4 linked regions of the Drosophila melanogaster genome follow. The protein of the gene in region 1 interacts with the protein of each later gene in a pairwise test. Each region holds a gene or a part of one and is shown on either strand. Other genes may lie near its edges. The genes, in order: RecQ4, chn, nau and CG42674.

Region 1 (7,550 bases):
TCGAAAAATGTTATAATACTATTCAACGCATCATCGTTTCTTTCAGGCAAACAGGCCTTGCTACAAGCCGTTTCCGATGCTATGGCCAGCACCCGTCAGATGGCCAAGAAGTTTGCATTTTGGTCCACACAGCCAGTCACCAAGCTGGACGAGCAGGTGACCACCAACGAATGCATTGAACCGAACAAGGAAATTAGTGAGATTAGAGCATTGCCATACACTCTGCCAGGCGGCTTCAAATGGGTGACACTAGACCTGAACGACGCCAATGATCTCAAGGAGCTGTACACGCTGCTCAATGAGAACTATGTGGAGGACGATGATGCCATGTTCCGTTTCGATTACCAACCCGAGTTTCTAAAGTGGTCGCTGCAGCCACCTGGCTGGAAACGCGATTGGCATGTTGGCGTTCGTGTGGAGAAGTCCGGCAAACTGGTTGGCTTCATCTCAGCCATTCCCAGCAAGCTGAAGTCGTACGACAAGGTGCTAAAGGTTGTGGACATCAACTTCCTATGCGTCCACAAGAAGTTGCGCAGCAAACGGGTGGCTCCAGTCCTGATTCGGGAGATAACGCGTCGCGTCAATCTGACGGGGATTTTCCAGGCGGCCTATACAGCTGGAGTTGTGTTGCCCACGCCAGTGGCCACCTGTCGCTATTGGCATCGATCGCTCAATCCCAAGAAGCTGGTAGACGTGCGTTTCTCTCATCTCGCACGTAACATGACCATGCAGCGGACAATGAAGCTGTACAAGCTACCCGATCAGCCCAAGACGAAGGGCTATCGCCGAATCACAGCGAAGGACATGGACAAGGCCCACAAGCTGCTGGAGGACTACCTAAAGCGCTTTCAGCTGAGCCCGGTGTTCAGCAAGGAAGAGTTTCGTCATTGGTTTACCCCCAAAGAAGGTATTATCGATTGCTTCGTGGTTGCCGACGAAAAGGGCAACATCACTGATCTGACTAGCTACTACTGCCTGCCATCGTCCGTGATGCACCATCCGGTGCATAAGACGGTTCGTGCCGCATATTCGTTCTATAATGTGTCTACAAAGACCCCGTGGCTGGACCTGATGAACGATGCACTGATCTCGGCCCGCAATGTCCAGATGGACGTGTACAATGCCCTCGACCTCATGGAGAACAAGAAGTACTTTGCACCGCTAAAATTCGGCGCCGGGGATGGAAACCTGCAGTACTACCTCTACAATTGGCGCTGTCCATCGATGCAGCCGGAGGAGATTGCTCTGATACTCATGTAGTCACCTTGTCACCTAAGCTCACATTCTCGCCCTGCCTTTCACAGCTCCCCTCCTCCGCTTTCTTCACCCTGCTGGAAGTGCCGTGCGGCTGCTTTGCTTTGCTCCTATTTACGTAGCTATTACCTGTAATCTTCAGTTATTCCAGCGAGGAAAGCCCTTTGCGAGCATACACCTAAATAGCATCATTGTGAAAATTGCATTTTGCAACGGCCAAGCTTCGATATTTTTTACTACAAGAACGAACACAAATTGTATAAAATGCGCAGCAATATCAATAAAAATGTAACGTTTACTTGGACCTTTATTGCCTATAATTGACAATAAATTATTTTGCTGCTCTTTTAAAGATGACAAGTTTTTATTTTTTTTAAGCAGATTATTGTATTTTTGCCCACTGTCCCAGCATGTGATAGTCTGGCCACTCTGTCACATGGCCATTGGTCTGGCAAGGTCGGTGAAAAAGCGCGCGCTAAGCAAAACAGCTGCACTTGTGTTGGTTTATTAGTTAACGAAATCTGATTCCAATGTTGGTTTCCTCATAATATTGACAATTAAAGACAGCCGCCGACATGGACGATTCGGTGTTCAAGCTAAAATACCAAAAGTACAAGTTGCGCGTCAAGGTGTGGGAGAAGGACTTCAAGAAGAAGAATGGCCGTGTTCCATCGAAGGTGAGATTGGGATGCGGATATGACAAGTATGCTAACTGGTTGACCTGTTGCAGTATGATATAAGGGACGCCAGTCAGGAGATTCGGGACTCATACAAAATGTACTACAAACTGAAGACATCCTTCCTGGAAGAGACGCTGAACGATGTTCTCAGCGAAGATGGATACGATATTCTGGAGATGTCGCAGGCCAGTGATTTCGGTGTGAGCATGCTGGACCAGGACGTCAGTCTTAATGAAGGTCCTCAGCTACCGTTGGATATATCTGCACTGGTGGGGCCGCAGAGCTCTGGTAATCTTGAGGAAATTCCACAATCGGTGGAGGGCTCATTCTCAAATCTCATCGACCTGCCCAATCGTCAAGTACTCACCAATCTGGTCAATCGCGATGAAAACCATGTCATTCGCAAATTCGAGGCGGTGGAGGAGCTGCCAATCAACCAAAATGCCTGGGGCTTGAATGTGAGTAAGAAGCCACCAGCTCCACCACAGCCTGTAGAGGCCTCCAAATCCGCTCCGGGGCACGGAAAGCAACCCAAAGCGGGCGCTAGTCTTAAGCCCAGCTTGAGTGCCAAGTTATTCCAATCCTCACGCGGTTTTGCTAAACGAAATCCCCGAAAGCCGCTTTCACGTTGTGTCAGTTCCTCTAGTTCCACCACATCACTTAGCTCAGTTCCTACTGATCATCACGAGGAACTGCTCGACTTTGAGACCATACTCATACGCAAAGCCCAGGAGTACAAGGAGAAGCAGCAGGCCATAGCTAACAATCCAATGCTGGCCAGTGAGCACAGCAAGGAAAGTATCAAAACACTGGTGGACGACGGCTGGCTCCGGCGAAATACAAAGGAAAACACTCTTGATGAAGAAGTGCCCTTTGCGGAAGCAAATAATAACAGTGGTACGTCCAAGAAAACAAACTTTGGCCTGGCCAATCTTGATTTAAGTAAACTAAAGCCCACTGTTAAGGAGGAAAAAGTGTTGCAGGCCAAGCCCGATCAAATGGCAATCATACAGGAGCTGCAAACAGATATGAATTCTAGCATGAACCAGAAACCAGATCATCTTAATCACACACCTCCTGCATCCAGTCAAAAATCAGTCGCTCCTAAAAATAAACCTCCACCTTCCGAGCAGGAAACCGATTCGGATTCCGACTCTGTTGTGGCTGAGAGTGAAGAAGAGCAGGAACCACAAGAATATCGGCAACTATCAAAACGTCGCAAAATTGTTTCAACAGCATCAGGAAAAGTGGAAGTAGCCGCCCCAGTTGAAATTCCCAACAAAGTCGAACCAGAGACAGAAACATTTGCTCAAGAGAATCCAGATTTCTCTGCAGATGAAGACCAGGATGCTACATATGTACCAGAGAATAAAAAGAAAGATAAGGCAAAGCGCAAGCAAGCCGCCGGAAAACAAAAGACCACTAAGCCCAAAGCGGAACCAAAACCGAAAACAGAAAAGAAAGCCAAAGTCAAGGCCGAAAAGAAACCCAAGGCGGAGAAAAAGCCGAGGAACTCTAAAAAAGCCATCGCTGTCGAGCCGGCTCCTGATCCAGAAGAGGATGAGCGCCAACCATTGAATCCAGAAGATTTGAAATACGTGTTGGCCTTGGAGGCGGGAGATATTACCTCCGTTCCGCGCATTAATGTGCAGGATCTAGAAGAAGCGGATGCTACCGCCCAGCGCTATATTAGAACCTTCGCCGCTGGACCCAACCCAGGATTGTCGGAAGGGTCCAACATTCGAGTGGATGAAAAGAGAGCCGCAGCACGAAAGAAGCTGGAGGAACGCATAGCAGCTGGTAAATTAAACGAGAACTTTGTGACCATAAATATTCAAAAGAAAAAATTCGTGCGTGGCAAAAAGTCCGTGAACTTCAGCAAGTACAAGAAGCAACAGTGGCGGCATAAGAAACGAGTGGCTGCCTTGAGTGGGCCGGACATGGATATGGGTGGCTGTGATGGCGGAGTGCTCACGTGCTTCCAGTGCGGCGGAGTCGGGCATTTCGCTCAGCAGTGCAAGGTGAAGGGAGACAGCTTGTTGCCACTTTCGGCACAGCTGGAAGAGGATCCCTCGCCGTTTCCCACGCTTGCCGAGGCTCAGGAGATGGCCAGTCAGGGAGCAGTGGTGGCACACAGTCGCAACATCTCACGGCTGCCCCAAGCGGCCAATGCAGCCATCCTGCAAGGCGATGAGTTGAACGAGTCAGAGGAAGATGACCAAGAAAGCAGCGGAGATGAGGAGGTACAGCAGCATCCAGATCCAAATTGGTCTAGCGATGAAATGGACGTTGATTTCGAGGCCCTAGATGCGGCCGTCGAAGCTTCCCTAAGCCAACCGGTTTCGCAAGAGAAAGCAGCTTCACCTATTAAGACATACGTCGGCCACAAGATTCCCGAGGAGTTCCTCAAGCAGGCTGGACTGGACACCACAGCCTCTAGTTCGAATCGCAGCCAGCACGGTGGGGTGAAGCCCCTATACGATCTCCTTCCGGATGGCAGTGTCCAGGACACGACGCCAGAGGTCCTAGAGGCACTCCACATGTTCGGGCACACCAACTTCAGGAAAGGTCAAGATCGCGCCATCATGCGCACTCTCTCTGGACTATCATCGCTAGTTACACTTAGCACGGGCAGCGGCAAATCTTTGTGCTACCAATTGCCCGCCTATTTGTATAGCCGGAAAGTGGGAGCTATTACCCTAGTCATCTCACCATTGGTGTCACTTATGGAGGATCAGGTGACCGGGGTGCCGCACTTTCTGCGAGCTCACTGCCTGCACACTAATCAGACCGCGCCGCAGCGTATGAAGATTCAGCAGATGATTGCCAATGGGGAGATTGACATTCTTCTTGTCTCTCCGGAGGCGGTTGTCGCCGGGGAACGAGCCACAGGATTTGGAGCCATTCTTCGCCAGCTGCCGCCCATTGCATTCGCTTGTATTGATGAGGCGCATTGCGTGTCTCAGTGGAGTCACAACTTTCGACCCAGCTACCTAATGATCTGCAAGGTGCTGAGAAAGAATCTCGGTGTACGCACAGTGCTGGGGCTAACAGCCACGGCAACTTTGCCAACGCGTGTTAGCATTATAAATCACCTTGGCATATCGGATGGAGAACGTGGTATTATAAGCGACATCCCACTGCCTGACAATCTAGTGCTGTCCGTCTCCAAGGATGAGAACCGGGATGCAGCTCTGCTCCAACTGCTCAATAGCGAACGGTAAGACTTGGCCCACCATCTTTGAAACTTGAAGGAGACTTAAATACATTTTGATCATTCTAGCTTCGAGCCCTGCCAGTCCATTATTATCTATTGTACGCGTCGTGACGAGTGTGAGCGTATCGCTGGGTTTATTAGAACGTGCGTGCAAGACCGTAGGGAGCCAACTCAGGATCAGACGAAAAAACGTAAACGTGTGAATTGGCAGGCTGAGCCCTATCACGCTGGAATGCCCGCTTCCAGGCGACGAACCGTTCAGAAGGCCTTCATGAGCAATGAGCTGCGCATTGTGGTGGCCACCATTGCCTTTGGTATGGGCATCAATAAGCCGGACATACGCGCGGTAATCCATTATAATATGCCAAGAAACTTTGAGAGCTATGTGCAGGAAATTGGTCGAGCAGGACGCGACGGGTTGCCTTCCCACTGTCACCTCTTCTTGGATGCGAAGGGTGGCGACCAGAGTGAGCTGCGTCGCCATGTGTATTCTAACTCCATTGATCGGCATGTTATCCGTAAGCTGCTGCAAAAGATCTTTGTGCCATGTAGCTGTGACAAGGAGGCTTCCAAGAGGACAGCTCTTCCGATTCCCCTTGAAGGTGATGGTCCTAGAGTGCATATGTGTCCGGGACACGAGATTGGCTTTTCCGTGGAGAAAACCGTTGAGATGCTGGACATCCCGGCGGAGAACATATCTACTTTGCTCTGCTACATGGAGCTTGATCCCCGATGGTGCATCAGTGTGCTCAGCTCAGCATATGTGATGGCTAAGGTAATCTCGTATGGTGGGCCAAAGTACTTGAAGTAAGTCCTTTAGACACGTGTATTGTGTATGTGTTTAATGTTATTGGTTTTTCCTTGCACAGGCATGCTGCAAAGGAATGTCCACCATTGGCCATGGCTATTGCTTTGCAGATTAGAGATAAGACATTCAAGGAGGACTCTAACATCATAGAATTCTCGGTCACAGATATCGCGGCAGGAATTGGCTGGAACAGTGGTGTGGTCAAATACCAACTGAAGGATCTGGAGTGGGTAAAAGGTGAGATGGTAATCCGTTCAAAAAAGGATCCGTTTAATTAGAAATTAATTTTTCGATAGTAAATGGATATCCCAAGCGATCGCCCATCACGGTGAGCTTCTATGATTTGGGATTCCGCATCAAGGTGCCGGGCGATTTTACCGAATCAGAGATCGACAACGCTCTGGACACTCTCTATACGCGATCCGTGAAACAGGAGCGTACGCAGCTCATCCAGCTGCAATATGTGGCCCATGGATTGGCTGCTGTGGCCTACAGCTCTTGTGGCCAGTGCTGCAATGCGGATTTTCCGCAGGATCGGGGCGAGCAGCTAAAGGCTATCGTGCGCAACTACTTTGCCAATGACTACCCACAGGATCTGGAGCTGGAAATAGAGGTAATTGCTTGGCAACACATTTCAATTTCTTACTTTTATTGCTTTCCTCTCTGTCCATTAGCCAAGTAACGTGCCGGATGAGAACATCATAGACGACGTTCATGCTCTAATAAACATGTACCCGGACAATACATTTACCGGACGTAATATTGCGCGCATCTTTCATGGCATCATGAGCCCGAACTATCCGGCTGTCATCTGGGGACGCTGTAAGTTCTGGCGTGCCCACGTCAAAGTGGATTTCAATCGCATCCTGCACCTGGCCAATATGGCTATTATCAAGAGGCGTACGTGACCGTAATGTCGGGATGAACCGCCGATACCATGGTTAACCAATTAATAGCTCCAAGAATTTTAAAAATATGTGATGCCATTCAATAACATTTTACTCGCACAAGTCTGATAATACAAAAATAAATTACAAATTCTATATAAACAGCTTTTGTACTTATTATGAGTGGAAAGAGAAATTCGTACGGACAATCTAAATTTTTAGCTTGGTTTTTAAACTCTCTAAATCTATGTGTTTCATTAGCTAATAAATTTGCACCATACAATCCCACGCCAATGGAACAATAACAATTTATGATAATTTCATTGCCGAAAACAACAGAGCACTAAAATAAAGTAAACAAATGCCAAGCTCGTTTAGAGGCAAATTGCAGCTACGGCTTCAAATGAAACAGCAGAAATCAATTCGATGGAGCCCGTAAAGAAACAAACATCCGGCTGAGTCATTCCCAATAACATCACGAAATGTATAACCCCGGTCGAAGGTGTCATCTTCAAATCGAAGCCTAGCCAAAGGTCGTCCTTCCTCAGTTCACACGAACGCGAAGCAAACAACCCAACAAATGGGGGGATCTAACAACAACTCAGGGCACAGACAACTGGAAACAGAGAAACATCATTGAAGTTGTCGGATCAGCGAAGCGTTTGATAAAGGTTTTTTATGACTTGGCCATTTTGTGAGGCCTT
Region 2 (4,898 bases), on another chromosome or scaffold:
CCCACATACCTCAACCGTAGGGTAACTGCAAACAGGTTAACCCTCGAAATGGAGCAGCCTGAGCACCCTACTTTGCCTTCATTGCCACTCAAGTGGAAGTGGCCGGCCAAGGAGATGATGATGATGGTGGTGATGGAAATGGAGATGATGATGATCGCGGATAAAGGAGCTGCCTGGTGACTGGAACCGGTTCGTGAGCAGCCGTCAGTGGACAACATGTGGGCCACCTCGAATCCCCCTGAGAGGTTCTTTCGGAGGCAGTGCTCACTGGGCCTGGGTGGACCCGTTAGTCCATCCTTGGCCCGGTGCAAGCTGTGATATAACCAACGATCCCCGTAATGAGCCTGACCAATTACAGCAGCACATGGCTTCCTACGGCCAGCAAAACCTGTTGCCCCTGAAGACGAAGCCCTTCTTCGGTTTTGCAGTTGGGAGAAAGTCTCCTCGCTGGAATAGGGCTTCCCATTTTGGGCGCCACTTGTGAAGAGGAAATCTGCCTGGCACTTCTCAAAGGGGTCGAAACTCTTGCACTTTGTCACGTCTCATTTAACTTGGGAACCCCGGGGGTGGTTGTGCGATCACTGGTTCCCACTGTATAGTTCGCTCCAACCCTTTATATACGTACACTATCTCACATCCAACATGCACAGAGAAAAAAGAGGGGACATTATTGGTACAAATTTGCATACTGTCTATGTAGGCATTTGTTATAATACGTTGCCTATATGTTGTTATATCCCGTTGATATAGGATTCAAACAATGAAAATGTAGTACTAGTTGTGACTTCCTATAGATCAAGTGAGTTCTAACATAATTTCAAAGAGCAAATCTTTAGATTTCCGTAAATGTTTTTCCTATGTGGAGACACCCCTTGACGAGTGGGCGTGGGACACGGCCACGCATGCGCAACTCCCTCCGAACTCCCAACTCGAATCCACTTTGTCTGAGTGGGTGGGTAGTGTGTGTGTGTGTGTGTGCGTTTTCGAGACTGGGTTTGTTTTGAGCATTGGGTTGGGTACAGTCTCCGCTTGGCTTGCCTTGCGGTCGGGTGAGTCACTGGGTCTTGGCCCCTGGGTGATTTTTTCAATCATCATCATCAGCGTGGGGAGTGTGAATGAAATGAAGTCAACAGGAAATAGTCAGTTTGCGGCTAAGAATAAAATCAAATGATCGCTACGCTTTTTTCATGTTATGTAGTGACTACCAAAGAATCAAGTTCAAAAAGTACATAAGGTTCTTTTGGAAATAAAAGAAAGTGATCGCTAATATAATGATTTCCAATTTTAGTCAAAGTTTTCAACAATGCTGTCATGTATTGTTGGGTTAACGAACTCACTTAGTTGTTATTGCTTAACGAACTTGCTTAACTTTGTCTTATAGTCTGCTTCCGTTTTCCACCCCTTTACTTTCCAATCTAAAGGAATATGCGTTGCATTCTAGGCATTTTCCAGTGCTTGGCTTCGTTTAACTCGAGCTTAAAATCAATTTTTGTCGACGAGTAAAAAGCAATTAAGCTGTCAGTCTATGTAAGCAGCTTCAAAAACACAACTAATTTCTATATATAATCCATGGAGACGCCATGAAACGAAATTCCGTTGCCGGTATCCCCCTACCCCGTACATAGTATTTATTTATATAGGCATAATCCCGGGCAAGTGCAATTCGACTGCATACAAATTGCATTTTCCATATAATATATAAATGTATAAAATATGTGCGTGGGAATATAATCTTATATATATAAATATATATATAAAGCACTCGAATGCAGTTATTTGCATTCTGCAGCAGACATTGCCACCCACAAATTTTCACCATATTGCCCATGGCAACAAAAAACCACACATTTTTAGTTTTCATTTGAAAACACCATGCCACAAACGGAATTCGTCAAAGGCAAAATAATCAAATACAAATTATATAACTCCTACATACATATGCATACATATGTAGTCGCATATGTTGCATAAAAACCGAAACCCCAAAAAATCATATGCAAAACCCCCCATCGAATCGAAATGAAAATGCATCTCTCTCTTTGGAGAGAGCGCAAGCCTGTGCCGTTATTTTCTATTTTCCCAGAGAGCGCGAGAGTGAACGAACGGAAGTTGAACTCTCGAAAGTGCAACACAATTCCTTTGCACTTTTTTGATAAGGGGTGTGGGTCGCTTTTTGGGGTGGTGGGTAGGTGGGTGGGGTGGTTGAATATAACAAAAATTGTTATAGACACAAAATTTATGATGTGCTCCGGCTGTGAAAAACAACCACCCACCCAGGAGCGAGAAACTAAGGGGGTTACGATAGGTGGGTGCGGGGGGATGGGGGCGGCAGTTAGTTTTCAAATGCCAAAACAGTTGAGCTATTGTCGCGAGAGCGGGATAGTAATACCCTTCAAAGCCATAACGAGAGCGAGAAAGAGGGTGGGTTGTGCATTGTTTGGGGGTTGCTATACCGTTGCATAGAGCGCCTGCTCCAATCCACACACCAATACCATTTGTTTTTATTCCACTGTGTGCGTGTGTGTGTTTGTGTGAAGTATTGATGAAGGAAAAATAGAAGTTGGCGCTTTTTAGTTGGGGGTTGCTGCCCCCAGTGGGATGTTTCTCTGGAAAAAGTGCATACCGAAAAAGATACGCACACACACACACAAACGCATTGCGGAAAAATCAATAAATCACTTGGCTTGGAAAATAGATATGGAAAGGCCCCCCCTCCCAGGAAAATCAATTAATAGATACTCCATGCTACTCTGATCCGATTTGTTTTAAAATATTTTATTCACCAACTTACCAACATGTTAGCGGAGGTTTTGCAGCCAGCCCCGGAGTATGCAACACTTTTTCGCCTCTTTTCGCGCGGCACACTGTTTAGTAGGTTTGTGTTTCTCCTTTGCAGCTGGAAATTAATTTACTTCACTGATTTGTTAAATGATTTCCTTGATGCACTTTTCGGTTTTCCGACTTAACGAGAACGGACCGCGTTTCACAACTAACCTCATCAACACTCACACACCGAATGAGATTTCGTGACTGAATGAATATGAATGGTCGCGGAGGAGCGGATCCTACGGCGATTCTCCGCCACCCACTCTTTTGGGGTGGCTGATGGGTTGGGCGGAAAATTTCCCGTCCCTCCCCCTATTGGGCCAAGTAAATATGTTGTAATATTTAGTTTTGTTTTTGCGTCTGCGATGCGTTGCTTAGTTTGCTGTTGTTGCCGCGCCGATTGCCTGTCGCGTAATAATAATACCTCTCCGACGTTGTGCAATTGTGGGAAAAGCTTCCTGTCTGCGCCGCCCTGCTTCTTCTTCTGACACCCCTCCGCTTTTCCGCTTTCCACAATTGCAAAAAGCGCGCGCATTCCGCAACGCTCACGCTCCCACGCATAACAAGTGGACTCTCCGGCAAAACTTTGTCACTAAGCTAAAAAAACGATTCTAATATATAAATAGACTTATTAATTGACTTAAATTAAGAAAGAGTATATTAAAATAAAAAAATAATTTATTTTTTATTTGTCAGTATCGGGGTATTATCGATAGTCGCGCCGAAAACATCCGAAAACATCGAATTAATTGTATTCAGCGCGGAAAAAAGGCCACAGCAAAAAATCTCTTAAGTTATTTATTTTTTTTAATTATCTGTAAGTATAATAATAGTTGAATTTATTATTTGACTAATTAAACAACAACATATGATTTTTAAAGACCAATTTTCTTATTTGTTAAGCTTTCATTTGTTAAGCTTAAAAGAATTTCCATTACATAGAATGCTATTGAAATTGAATTTCATTTGCAATCCTCCTTAAAAATTACATTTCCGGTTCCATTTTACAATAATTTTACATTACATCATACACGATTACTACCTTCTAATATTAGCTGTGTCACTAACCCATTGCGAACTATTTTGGAGCTGCTTTCCGAATTGCTACACTTGTAGAGTTTAAGTTACCACCTAGAATTCTACATACGGTTATTTGATTAATTTTATTTGATCAATAAACATATTCACTGGATTATAGCCATGTACAATGCTTAGTCATGCCAACTCTGTCAATTTGTAAAATGTTTTTAAAATGCTCACTCGTATTTATAATTTTTTGCCAAAAAGCTGCCAAACAAAAACTGTTTTAATCCTCGATATATAAAATATTATAATCTTGGTTTATTAGTACAATGTACTACTTATTTTAAGAAGGCCAGCAGCTTTGCATAATACATTAATAATAAAATACTAATTAAATAGTACTGACATGATACATTGAAAGAGAACATTGCAGACAAAAAATAGGATTTATTCATCTGTAGGATGACCCACTCCACTTTAAAGGCCAAGAAAAAACATAAAAGGGAATTTCATTAAAACAGATTAGCGTAAGGTGCGCAATCTTTAATTAATTTTCGCGGATTTTATGTTTTTGCCCTAGCCGCAAAACCATTCAGTCGAGTGGCAAAACGATTGCAGGTAAAAAATGGCTACCACTTAGCCATGACGACGTTCATTTTTAGATTTTCGTCATTTTTTCGTCCACTTTTTCCGTCACTTGAGGACAGCAGTTTTTTTTAGCGGCACCCAAGTTTTAATCAAATTGCACATGTGACCACATAGTCAGCCATATAACCCATAGCCCACACCACAGACCCCAAAACTCCTTTGCTAACCTAATTTTACAGTTGCCTCTTCAGCTGCACTCACACACGCAAACAAAAACACACACACACACACACCAAAATACAGGATTTTTCATCTCCATTTTTGAGAATTTTCTGCAACGTCAACTGTCTCGAAAAGTTTTTAATCAACGTCACCAACAACAAGAGCGTTTTTCTTTTTTCTTGCATTTTTCCTACTTAACTGTTTAATTTTTTGTTCGGTTTTTCGTGTTGCCTTTTTTC
Region 3 (8,032 bases), on another chromosome or scaffold:
TACATCTGCTGCCCGGAACCAGGTAACGTTCTACCAACGTCCTGTGGACAAGCTCCGCCTCTTTATCGAATGGCATATGGCACAGCGGCGAGGCCAAATGAATATCCTTGGATGGCCATGCTTATCTACGAGAATCGCAGACTATCGACCATGACCAACAACTGTAGTGGCTCCCTGATTAACAAACGCTACGTCCTCACCGCTGCACACTGTGTGGTCAAGGATAAAATGGTGAACACAGATTTGGTGCTCAGGAGAGTGCGGCTGGGCGAGCATGATATTACCACCAATCCGGATTGCGACTTTACAGGAAACTGCGCTGCCCCCTTTGTAGAGATCGGCATCGAGTATTTCAATGTCCACGAACAATATTTCAACACCTCAAGGTTTGAAAGCGATATCGCCTTGGTGCGTCTTCAAACGCCAGTTCGGTGAGTATTGCAATATAAGGCATCATTTTCTGACTATTATGAACCAAAGTTTTTATTTCCTTAGATATACCCACGAAATTCTACCGATTTGTGTGCCGAAAGATCCCATCCCCTTGCATAATCACCCATTGCAAATCGCCGGTTGGGGCTACACGAAAAACAGAGAATATAGTCAGGTGTTGTTGCATAACACCGTTTATGAAAACAGATATTATTGCCAAGACAAGATATCGTTCTTCCGCAACGAATCACAAATCTGTGCTTCTGGCATTCGAGGAGAAGACTCCTGTGAGGGTGATTCCGGAGGTCCCTTGATGTTAACCCTTAATAATGATTACCAGGATATCGTATATCTGGCCGGTATCGTTTCATATGGAAGTGAGAATTGCGGAGATAGAAAACCAGGTGTTTACACAAAGACTGGAGCATTTTTCTCATGGATAAAGGCAAATTTGAAGCCATAACTTTCTTGCTAAGGAATCTCGACTAGTGTATGGTGTTTGTTAATATGTGAATGCATTTTGTTTGTATGAGTGAATGTGTTTTTTTTGTGGATTATGGAATTATGGAAAATTCAATCAAGTAGCCAGTAAAATCAAATATGCACATAAGAATGAGTTTTAATATGTATTTTATTTATTTGATTAAATTAATAACACAATAAATCGAATTTACTTAATGATTTTGATTTTTTAAACGTTCTTTTCTGAGTTACATTTGTGCGTTGACAGTACACTGCCCGAAAACAAAGGCCGATAATGATTAAATTTACAATTGGGATTATCGTGTGGCACAACAAATAGTCTTTGCCACCAAAATACCATCAGACCGAATCAAAACAAAGCATCCATCAAAGTACGGCAAGATGGAAAATGTGAGGAGAAAATACGAAATGGAAAAAGACGAGAAGGGAAAAGTGGAAAAATGAAGATGGAAAGTGCTCGAGCAAACCACGGTCCTAAGACAAAAGATTTACAATATCGCTGGGGAAGATTTAAAGGTGATTTCCAAAGATATATATTGTGCCTGAGCAGCGATAAATAAACACAATTCTTTGACTATTTTTATTTCGGCCTCTCCTATTTTATTTATTTTTTTGCTCAATTTCTCGCTTTTTTCTCGGCCGTTGCAACTATAACTCAATAGAAAAGTGGCTGCCATTGATGGGATCTGTGGACGGGGGGCCGGATTTTCCACTAAATGTGTCACATTAACGAATTGTTGAGCTCCCCGAAAGCTAATTTATGCCACCACCTCCCCCACCAACCCACACTAATCGCTGGCCAGGTAAAATTCAATTTATTTGATTTGAACTAAGCCTTTCACAAACACGCTTCACATTGAGCGGAAAATCGCGTTGAAAACTCACGAAAATTAAAAAAAAAAGGGGAGGGGCGTGGCCTGCGGCAGCGTCCTTCTGCCTTAGAGAACCGCCAATGTCGTCTAATGGCGGGGCGCCTCTAAAAATAGGAACCACTCGAGAGCCACTCAGCCACTCAAAACGCAGCAGCATCCGCACTCCGAGAGGATCGCGAGCACATCTGGGGGCCCACGATATCTTGGATTCTTGGATATTGTCACCAAATGTGTTGCGATTGCGACGGAAGGCGGTACACACACTCGCGTACGGTCCGCAAATCGAAGTCGAAAAATATTTTTGAAAATGTCGGAGGTTTTTACAAAGCATCATTAAAGTGTAACCAACTAATTAAGGTTCTATTTTAAAAATCCCGAAAGTGAAACTATAACAAATTAAATTAAATAGAAACCACAGCCTAAAACTTGTGTGTAACCATAACTCATAAATTTGTGTTAATGACCTAGCATACCTAGAAAAAGAGCTTAAACCACGTTAAAAATGGTAATAATCAACTGACTAAATTAACTGTGCCATCGTAATTAGTATCAGCAATTAAATTCAGCAACTTGTTGAACTACCAAAATTGTTTTGTAAAATATAACAAAATCGTAGTGAAGTGAAAAATGACCAAGTATAATAGTGGCAGCAGTGAAATGCCTGCGGCTCAAACCATCAAGCAGGAGTACCACAATGGCTATGGTCAGCCGACACATCCTGGATACGGATTTAGCGCCTATAGCCAACAGAATCCGATAGCCCATCCCGGCCAGAATCCACACCAGACACTGCAGAATTTCTTTAGCCGCTTCAATGCCGTCGGTGATGCGAGTGCGGGAAATGGTGGAGCGGCTTCCATCTCAGCCAACGGATCGGGTTCGTCTTGCAACTACAGTCATGCGAATCATAATCCGGTTGAGCTGGACAAGCCATTGGGCATGAATATGACACCGTCGCCCATCTACACCACCGACTACGATGACGAGAACAGCAGTCTCAGCTCCGAGGAGCACGTCCTGGCGCCCCTCGTCTGCTCCTCCGCCCAATCCTCCAGACCATGCCTCACCTGGGCCTGCAAGGCGTGCAAAAAGAAGAGCGTCACCGTGGACCGTCGGAAAGCGGCCACTATGAGGGAACGCCGGAGACTGCGAAAGGTAGGCATCCCATGCTCACATTACACACATTTTCAGATTTATCAAATATTAAAAACATATTGTGCAATAACTACTGATACAAATACAGCACTTTCATCTTTCAATCATTCATTAAAAGAATGGTTCACTTTAAAAGTAGATTTTTGATTCATTCAATTCATTATTATAATAATAACTTAAAACTGCTTATGGGGACTTGAATATAGGCATACCACTCAGAACTCTGTTCAAGAGTCCTTTTCCATCAGCAGGCTTATTAATCCTCGGTCGATCTTAAAAATAGATTACGCCACAGTTCGCAAGTCCCCTGCGTTTAAGGACTGCAACTTTGTAGTAATTTCATTAGCTCGGCTAGCACCCCACAAATTAACACATCGCCACCAGGGAGGATCGGATCCATTGACATAACGCGCAGAAAGGGAAACCACCCAACATGCGTAAAACATAAACATTTGCCAAGACCAAGAGTTAAACAGCGGCATTTATGAGTTCGACGGTCGTAAAAGTTTTGGATGAACCACACGTATTTATAGCTCCACATAGAGACATTAGTGAAAGGCGGAAAATCGTGGGAGCTCCGGTTAGAAGGGGTATGGTGATGGGGGGCTGTCATAAAGAGACAGACGACGGGCGAACGGCTTAATTGTTGAAAATTTTATGCTCTATTTAATTTAAAATATGTTTTATTAAAGAGCCACTTAAAAGGGGAACACGCCGCGTGTTCTGTGTTTTTATGGCACGCCTAATGGATTTCCATGATTTCAACGATGGCCATTAATTGATTATTATTCCGTTCACATTCTAGGTTAACGAGGCCTTCGAGATCCTCAAGCGACGCACTTCATCCAATCCCAACCAGCGCCTGCCGAAGGTTGAGATATTGCGCAATGCCATCGAGTATATCGAGAGCCTGGAGGATCTGCTACAGGTAAATGAGTGAACTCATCTCACCGCGAATAGAGAATACCATTGGTTAAATTGATTATCTTAGGAATCCAGTACCACACGCGATGGCGACAACCTGGCGCCCAGTTTGAGCGGCAAAAGCTGCCAGTCCGATTATCTGGTAAGTTTTGTCCACTAACCGCCAATTAATATTAAGCCCACAATATCGGCGCGTATATCGTTCCGCAATTATTTTCTCGTAAAATTCTCATGCATGAGCAGCGCTTTCGTACATTTTTCTTTGGCGACGCGCACATTCATCAAAATCTCAGGGTCTGGTCCGTCGCAATGGCGAACATGAAAATAGAATATGTATACGGACGGATCCCCGAAAGAGTCAGTCCCCAAACTGTATCTGATATCTGTTGTATCTGCTGACCGGAATTTATGCGCTCGCTGACGTGCTACTTAATAAGCTACGCCGGCAGCCCATCATCCACATTTCTGAATCACATTCACTCGAAAACCGGGAATATTATGAGTTATGATCGAGAAAGTTTGCCCAGATGTGAGGGGAGCAAACTTTTATCAAAGGAACGGGGGAAAAAAAATTTAGAGGAAAAATAGCTGGAGAATTTAGGAGAATTTACAGGGGAAAGGGTCGTTGTCTGCATTTAGTGAAAGGCAATAAATAAATTTTCTTTTTATAAGCCCGAATGGAAATCGTGTTGTAAATTAATTACAACAAATTCGTTGGAGCAGGAATCGGCACCAGAATCTTCATCCCCATGTTTGGTGGATTGCGACGATCGCTTTTCTGTTTCATAATAGCTTCCCTGCGACGTGGAACCAAAACCGTTGTGGCAGTTGACAAATTGCACAGGAAAAACATGACAAGATCTCGGGGTGTTCTTCTTCGAAAGGTGTTGCAAGATATGGCCAAGTCGTTGGTCATTGAAGGGAAATGAAAATGAATGAAAAATGGGGGGGGGGGGACGGGAGCGGGTTGTACATGCATATCTACTCCCGAATGACAGGGCAACAAATTGTCAACAATTATGCAAACATTTTTGCCATCATCTTCAACGCCCTCTTTTCTTTTCATTTTCATTTGACTTTCGGGTTGGCCTGCGCTGAGTAATTTCCATGCAGTTTGTTTAAGTTTCTCACAATTTTAATGTACAAATTTGTTAATTTACCATAAAACTTAGCGTATTTGTATGTTGACTGCGCCCCCCATTGGCAGATATTAATGTGCGGCCATAGTTTGATTAAAAACTGGCATAGCGCCAAACGTGCAGACATTCAAATGCATCTCAGACCCTGGCAATCCATCCATCTCATCCATATCCATTCATTTGGAGCCCGTGTATTTATAAACCTCGGCGACTTAAGTAAAAGATTTCCTTTTGAACTGTTTCCAACACGAAATGCGAACGCTAAGTTGGCCCATAAATTTCCTTATCGCCGCCAATAAAGTGTAGTACTTGCGATATACAAAAGTGCCACCTTGTCTATATCAGTCAAATTTCTACGTAATGAAATACATAGCCGCAATCATTGAAGTCTTAAGATAGAGCTTTTCGGTGCAAATGACTCACGGAAAGATGTGGGTAACGTGGGTGCAAACCATCCATTTGGACAGTGAGTCAGGATTGATCGGATTCCCTACCATTCAGTTTTTAAACTATTATCAGGTACAGATATGCTACCGAAAACTTTTGTTATCTTTGAATAGCTTTACAGCTACACTATTAGATATTTTCTACGAATGGAAAGCAGTTTATAAATGATATTGCAAATTATTGAGAAGAGATAATTGGTGTGATTTTTATGGTCTAACCACCACTGATAATCTTTATCACACGTCCCCGTTTCAAAAAGTAACTTTTTCAGTTTCCGAGAAAGATTGATTAAATAATTCCGAAAATAAACATCAACATTATTTGCATCTTATTAAAAATGTAAATACATATCTGGCAAGTAGTTCTTGCATTTTTTCGGTGATATTTCCGAAATGGATTATGAGATCTTACGACTGACCGCACAACTCGCAGAGAAGTGGCAATATTTTTAAAGTGGGTTTAGTATATTAAAAGCATATTTCATGGTAAAAACTCATGCAACTTATGGCTAACAAATCGCATAATGCCGCATATCCGTTACACGCTCACAGATCGGAGGAGAACATCTAAGGGGAACGCGCCAAAAAGCGGCTTAAAATCTTTACGCAACCGAAGAATCGGAATGCCCAAGTGATAAGTGGCATTTCATTCAGATACAACGCATGATATATGCTCAAAAAAAAAAAAATAAAATAAAATACACCGAAATACCATAAAGACCTGCAAACAAGTACACAGAAAGAAGTCGGGCATGTCTAAAAATATATTTCGAACATGCTTGTTAAATTGAGAATTTATTTCCAAAGAAATTTTTCAATATTCGGTATTATATTGTCATATAAATAGACTTTATTGCTTTTAACCCAGTTGTGCTATTTTTGTGTAATTTTTCCCAGTGTATCCGCTTGCTGACTGCGGCATATCGAGCGCAGGCTGTCACTAAACGCTTGAAAAAAATGATAAATCGCTTTATAAAAGTGCAGTGTGAGTTCATCTGCTCTCGTTCAGTTTAGTTCACTTCACTCGGCTTTGAATGCTATTCTGTTGTTTTATCACTCCGTACTTTGTTGTCCGCTAAATATAAACAGACGTACATACATATAAGCCATACGGGATGCCCTGTATTTGTCGATCCTTGCAGACGAAGTGACGGCACTTTGGATGCACCAGATGCGGATTTGGGGGGGGGGGGGGGGCAGCAAGGAAACCCACCCAGAAGTGGCAATTATAATTTGCTTAGCATCGGCGTTATAGCGAATTTTTCTAATGAAATCCCGACCGAATCTCCGGATGCCTTGTCTGTCGTCTGCGTATGCGCAAAATTAATTTAATTGCCTCTAAAGTGCACTGCACACAATGCCCCACAATGTTGGGGCAGACAATGGGTGTGGTGCGGTGGTTCAATGCGTTTTAATTGGCCTGTGGAATCTCTTTACTGGCATAAATTTTGGCTTAATCTCATCATTAGACTGCATTCTGTATGGCACTCGTTGGCCAAGTTGACAGGACCGGAGCAAATTTGACGTTGTCATTTCGACGGCGACACTTTTCTGTAATTTATTGTTTCCCCAATTTCGCTTGAGGCCAACTAAAAAAAAAATATATGATTTTTCCATTTGTATTTATTTATGTTTTTCCTTGCAGAGCTCCTATGCTGGCGCTTATCTAGAAGATAAACTTAGTTTTTACAACAAACATATGGAGAAATATGGTCAGTTTACAGGTAAAAGTAAAAAAAAAAAAGTATTTGATGTATTTATCTAAAATATTTTTGTATAGACTTTGATGGCAATGCCAATGGCTCCAGTTTGGACTGTCTAAATCTGATTGTTCAGAGCATCAATAAGAGCACCACGAGTCCCATTCAAAATAAGGCCACGCCCTCCGCTTCAGATACCCAATCGCCGCCCTCATCCGGAGCAACTGCACCCACTTCTCTGCACGTGAACTTCAAACGGAAGTGCAGCACTTAGCACTTAAGTATCAGCACCTTAGGCAATTGTAAAGCTATTTTTAAGAGGATACACGAGATACCCAGTGACCCGAATAGGCCTTAAATTATTTGTATAGCATTAGAACTTAATTAAATGGTAATTCAAAACAGCAACTAGAGTCGTCTTACTTAATCTAGCTCCAATTTGCGGAAGGAACCGCTCATCCCGTCCAGTTCTCCATTGGCCCAGGCACTGGCCAATCCGACGCGCAGTTTCTCATTAGTACCATACTGGGCATCCTTGGCCAGATAATCCTTGCTGTCCAGCAGCTTCTGGCGCCAATGATCCACTGCCTCTGCCTGATAGCCATTGGTGCCACCATACTCGATGGTCATCACATCTCTGGGCAGGTGCTGGTACAGATCCTCCGACTTTTTGTGGACCACGAACTGTGTAGAATATTGTAGAGATTAATTACCAATCCTAACGCAATTCAAGCTTTTTGATGATAGATTCACCTTGAAAGGCAGTTTGGAGGGCAAAAACTTCGTTACAAAATTGAATATGGTTTGTCCCTCCTTGCGCATATTGATCATATGAATCTCAACAAATCGCAGTGGTATGCATTGGTCCACCAGAGCAAATG
Region 4 (4,707 bases), about 12 Mb from region 1:
ACAGATACAGAAGACGGTGGATAAGATAGCAAGCGTTATTTGGTTTTTGCCTAAAAGTTAGCTATATATTTCGCAAGATTCGGTAAAAGCTCGATTTGTGTAATTTAACAGTAAAGAAATATATTTTAAGACTTCCATTACCGAATTATGCTGCTCCGCCTAATTTATAAGACTTCAATCCGAATCCGCACAAAAACTGTATTTATAAGATACAAAGTGTTAACACATAGTAAAAATTGGTAAATAATAAATTCTCATTAAAAATTCAACTTTCGGAGCTTTTATATAACTGTTGGTATTTGCCAAACGTGGACTTATCCAAAGCTATGAAACTTATAACATCAATAACTTCTATTAATCTATTTAAAAATTATGATTCAACCTTCTAACCCTTTTGAAATAAGATCATATAATAATTCAAAATATAAGGTAGGTCAAGGCAATAGATTGCCGTATCGTTTTTCGGGCTGAACTTTATTTAAAAACTCATAGATGATGTCATCCAATCGGCATACGAACTTTGAAAGATTGTCCCTGATCTCGTCGCCCGTTGATCCGTTCGTTCATTCATAAATTATCCAAAACCATGTTGTTCAGCTTGATTATGTTGCAAATACACATATGTACACTGTATGTACATTCATATGTACATATGTATGTGTTCGGTGCTCATAAACGTTTGTGCGATATGTTTGTCTAATTTAAATTTAGCTTCTAAGGCGGTCGGGCTCAATTAGGGCTGCTTTTTGGCTTGAAGCTAATCGACGTGCCGTCCAGTAATTAATTCAGACAAACTCGTTGGTTGGAGTCGCGTGACTCATTATAAATCGCAAAATGGCAAAGTGAAAAAATCTTTTTGGGGTTCTGGGCAAAGTAAATTCAGGAAAGTTTTTTAGGGATATACATGTGTGTGTTTGTGCTTAATTTAACATTTAAAATGCAAACAAACTGCGCTAATCAGCTCAATCGATGAGATCGATGCCCTGGTTAATAAAGAAATTGTTGTTTGGTGAAATGATTGATTTATGGTATAAATGTTAATTAGTTACAAGGCCTCCGCTTGCCTATTTAGCCTTGAACTTTGCACATAACTGAAGATACATATATACATACATATGTACATATGTATGCGAATTTATGAGGGATGACCTCAATTATCTTTGAGCCGGAAGATAAACATTTAGAACCTTGAACTTGCTAAAGGTAGTACTATTAGCCTAGAAATTTTACGACATTCAATCTTTGGTTTTAAAGCATTTCGGAAGATTACAATGCAATTGCATTGATTGTAATCCACAACAACACTTCTTGCTTTCAAGCTAACGGCGCAAATTTAAATTTCCATTTCAGTCCAACTTCGTTTCTGATGTGTCACTCTCTTCCGGCTCTTAATTTAGTCTTGAGTCTTAAACGATTGCTTAATTTATTTCTAAGTTCGTAAAGACATCTGTTAATTATTATTAAGGTAGCACACTACTGATACCCTTTAATAGCTGTTAATAGCTTATTTTTGATACTCTGCCTGCAGCACGAGTATCAGCTGATGGTGCGCGGCAACATACACACACACACGCACGCACGAAGTTGAAGAGAGCGGTTAGGTGAACTAACTTAGTTCCTCTCTTTCCCGCTCTCTTTGCGCCAACGAGATTAAGCTTTTTGTACCGGCGATCGCTTCAGCTTTTTCAGTTGAAAACAAGTCACCCGCGAGCGGTGTTCTTTTTGCGCGCCGTTCTGCGAATAGTTTTATTTTGATTTTAGCCCAACTTAATTCGTTCCATGCGACTTTTCCTTTTCGCGAGCGGTAGTGACGTCGCCGTTTTTTGGACAATTGCGCACATATTAAAATCGCGAAGAAATAGGGGTTGTTGTTATTGTTGTTTGGCCGGAGACACGCGTCGCTTTTCCGCGTGTCTTTTATTTTTGTGGATCAGCGGCCACCTGAAAGGCGCCATTTGAAAAGCCAACAGCTGTGAGGCAAAAAAAAAACAAATATATGCATATACGTACATATATATTCAAGTGCAAAAAGCTGGCGTTGCTAATAGAAATAAATAAATATAAAAGGCAGAATAAACGTGCAAAGCGGTGCGTAAGTGTGTGTGTTTTATGTATTGCGCAAGCAAAAGAGAGCGCGTTCTGTGTGTGTGCGTGCGTACCTGAAAATATACATATAACTTAACTTGATTATTTTCAGTTTTGTTAGCAACAACAACAAAGAAACCGCTCGCTGAATAAGTCTAATTTGAAGTGCATTTCCTTTGTGATTGAAAAGATCGCTCCAAACTCCAAAAATCGAAATCGAGCAAGGCCATACGTATATATACTGATATATACGCATATATACACATTTATTCGTGTGGATTCAGAGCGCAAGCGTCGCGTCGCCATGCAAATGTTAATGAAAAACACAAACCCCTAAAAATCGACTTATCAGCTTAAAAAACATCACTAGATTGTCACTCAAAATAAAACACTATTAAAAAACCAACAAATCAGCAAAGAGCAAGGAAATCAGGCAAGTTCCTTAAAAATAATGCAGTTTATACGTACATATGTAAATATAGCGAAGAGCGACCTTCGTCACGAAACTAATTTAACTTAAAAACTGATAAGACCACTTGATTCGCCAACTCTTCCTCTTCGCGATTCGCCCTCTCCTTCTCGCGCAGTATCAGCTGCGATCCAAAACAGTGGACGGGGACGTTCCGACATTGCATACCCTGCAGTAAGCTATAAACTTCCTGCAGACTTGCTTTAAATGTATTGCTAAAGTGATACTCTTAATTCGGGAATTCTTGATTTTGTTGGTGTCCACTATCAACACCCTTTTTTTTTTTCTTATAATTGTTTGCTAACTGCTAATTATGAATCGACCGGAAACGAACCATCAGAAACATACAATAAAGAATTTATGTTGGTTTTTATAAAAGTGGTTATTCTTTTGCTTACTGTTTAGTTCCGATTCTATACAACCTTTTAAATAACATTATTATGACACTCCTCTTTGTATTTATGTTTTCATAAGCAAAGGTGCGATTCAGTCTAAAGGTGTTCCCATTTTCAATTTTCTTTAAAATTGTTTGTTATAGGTAGTGTGTGTGCTATGTTTCACAAAAGTAGCCAAATACATTTTTTGACGAATTTGTGAAGTTAATGGATTTAAACGACGTGCAAGCTCAAACCTGTCGAATTGCACGGCAACTTTCCAAAGTTCATGTTACTAAACTTTCGAGAAAGGACATTTGAATTAAAATGTTTTATCTTTGGGCCTAGTAATTACAAGTTATACATATATATTTAACGCATTCTGTACAGACCGCTTTTGTGAAAAGAGCTCTTTCTGCGAATCATTCATTTTATCATTCGTATGTACAGTTGTGTTGTTGAGATACCATTCGAACTAACCTAGTACACCTAATACACACTCTATGTCTGTCAGATAAAGAGCTGTACACGTGCTGGAGATGGCATATCTGTCGTTATCAAAGGCGGCTAATCTAACGAGTACGTGCGGAGGCTACGAGCTTCGCTTGGATTTATGTAACATTCAAAGATCCAAAATCAGGGGGCTGGGGACAGTTTTCACTATCCAGCTTTCGTTATCAAATGGTGCTGCACAATGCACCGAGAAATATTTTGTACTCATCCATTTGGTGGCGTAATTGGCTTTGGGGCCGAACCACTCGGTTCGATTCGTTTCACAACCGGTTTGGGTTCCTGCAGTTAACACTCATCTCAAACTGAAAGCGGCATCGGGGGTACACCTCACAGGAACTCCATGCACCCAGCCATCAATCACCTATACAGTCTAGCTTTTATAACTCGAACCAAACTGAAGCTTGAGTGGTTTGTCGAAGATCTTGAGTCCACAGAATCGCTTTACAGGAAGATATCAGGAAATTCCAAAAGCTAGAGAACATTGTCATTCATCATTCCACCAAATAAAATGTATTTCATATTTTTCGATAGTTCAAGCTAGGGAAGCTTGCCTGTACGCGTATGTGCACTCGGACAACAATGCGTTGTCAATGAAAGCCGCAAACTGGTTTTGGCCTAGGAGAAGCAACGCAAACGGTAGTGCAAAGTTTGCTAAGGAAAACGATGTGATCTCGAGCAACATATACCCAGAGTGTCTTAGGTATCGCGGTATTAATTACCATAGTAAACAAAAAGAATCGCGCCAGAAGGGCACCCAAAATAATATTTACAAATTTTGTTTTCAGCTACATGATAACTTAACGCGTTGCTCACTATTCAATTTCAGGCAGCTCATGTATAACCGAATAATAATAATAACATATAATGTTACCTTACCATCACGTGTTCAGCAAAGTTGCTTAGGCAAAGCAATAATTATGTTGATTCTGTTGCTAAAATGATATAATTGGTTATTCATAATGGTTGTATGACAATTATCTGCACTTTCGAGTACCATCTTTTTCCAAGTGCCACCAAGTGTGTGCAACTCTCTCGTTCCGCTATCATATCAATTGTTTGCAAGGTAAATTTGATCAGTCAATTGAAAAGTTGAGTCTGCACTCATAATGGGGTTTGGTCCACCCCGAGGTGGACTCTTCGCACCGCAGCGATTGGCATGTGGTAACGCAATACTCGATCGGAGAGACAAATAACTCGAACTAGCGTCGAACGAGAATCAATACCAAGTGAATCATAGCATCAAATCTGGTTAGTGCTCCTCCGCTC

The links.
Region 2: the proteins of RecQ4 (region 1) and chn interact in a two-hybrid assay, tested with the Drosophila melanogaster proteins (one large-scale study listed by BioGRID).
Region 3: the proteins of RecQ4 (region 1) and nau interact in a two-hybrid assay, tested with the Drosophila melanogaster proteins (one large-scale study listed by BioGRID).
Region 4: the proteins of RecQ4 (region 1) and CG42674 interact in a two-hybrid assay, tested with the Drosophila melanogaster proteins (one large-scale study listed by BioGRID).

Annotation. Positions count from the first base shown.
Region 1 is NT_037436.4:8,170,136-8,177,685, reverse strand, and holds RecQ4 (RecQ4 helicase), read left to right. Parts: upstream 1-1,707; 5' UTR 1,708-1,829; coding exon 1,830-1,931; intron 1,932-1,984; coding exon 1,985-5,154; intron 5,155-5,217; coding exon 5,218-5,958; intron 5,959-6,020; coding exon 6,021-6,196; intron 6,197-6,255; coding exon 6,256-6,572; intron 6,573-6,633; coding exon 6,634-6,867; 3' UTR 6,868-7,046; downstream 7,047-7,550. Other genes in the region: Nmt (N-myristoyl transferase), read left to right, coding at 47-1,260.
Region 2 is NT_033778.4:15,113,582-15,118,479, reverse strand, and holds the start of chn (charlatan), read right to left. Parts: upstream 3,020-4,898; 5' UTR 2,792-3,019; intron 1-2,791. UniProt on the Drosophila melanogaster protein: Probable transcription factor involved in the development of the adult pattern of macrochaetae. Required for accumulation of achaete (ac) and scute (sc) in proneural clusters.
Region 3 is NT_033777.3:23,712,339-23,720,370, reverse strand, and holds nau (nautilus), read left to right. Parts: upstream 1-2,013; 5' UTR 2,014-2,414; coding exon 2,415-2,942; intron 2,943-3,747; coding exon 3,748-3,870; intron 3,871-3,933; coding exon 3,934-4,008; intron 4,009-7,057; exon of another isoform or gene 7,058-7,096; coding exon 7,097-7,175; exon of another isoform or gene 7,176-7,231; coding exon 7,232-7,425; 3' UTR 7,426-7,557; downstream 7,558-8,032. Other genes in the region: CG10232 (uncharacterized protein), read left to right, coding at 1-431, 496-895; CG10300 (uncharacterized protein), read right to left, coding at 7,575-7,835, 7,905-8,032. UniProt on the Drosophila melanogaster protein: May play an important role in the early development of muscle.
Region 4 is NT_037436.4:20,195,293-20,199,999, reverse strand, and holds the start of CG42674 (uncharacterized protein), read left to right. Parts: upstream 1-1,682; 5' UTR 1,683-2,518; intron 2,519-4,707.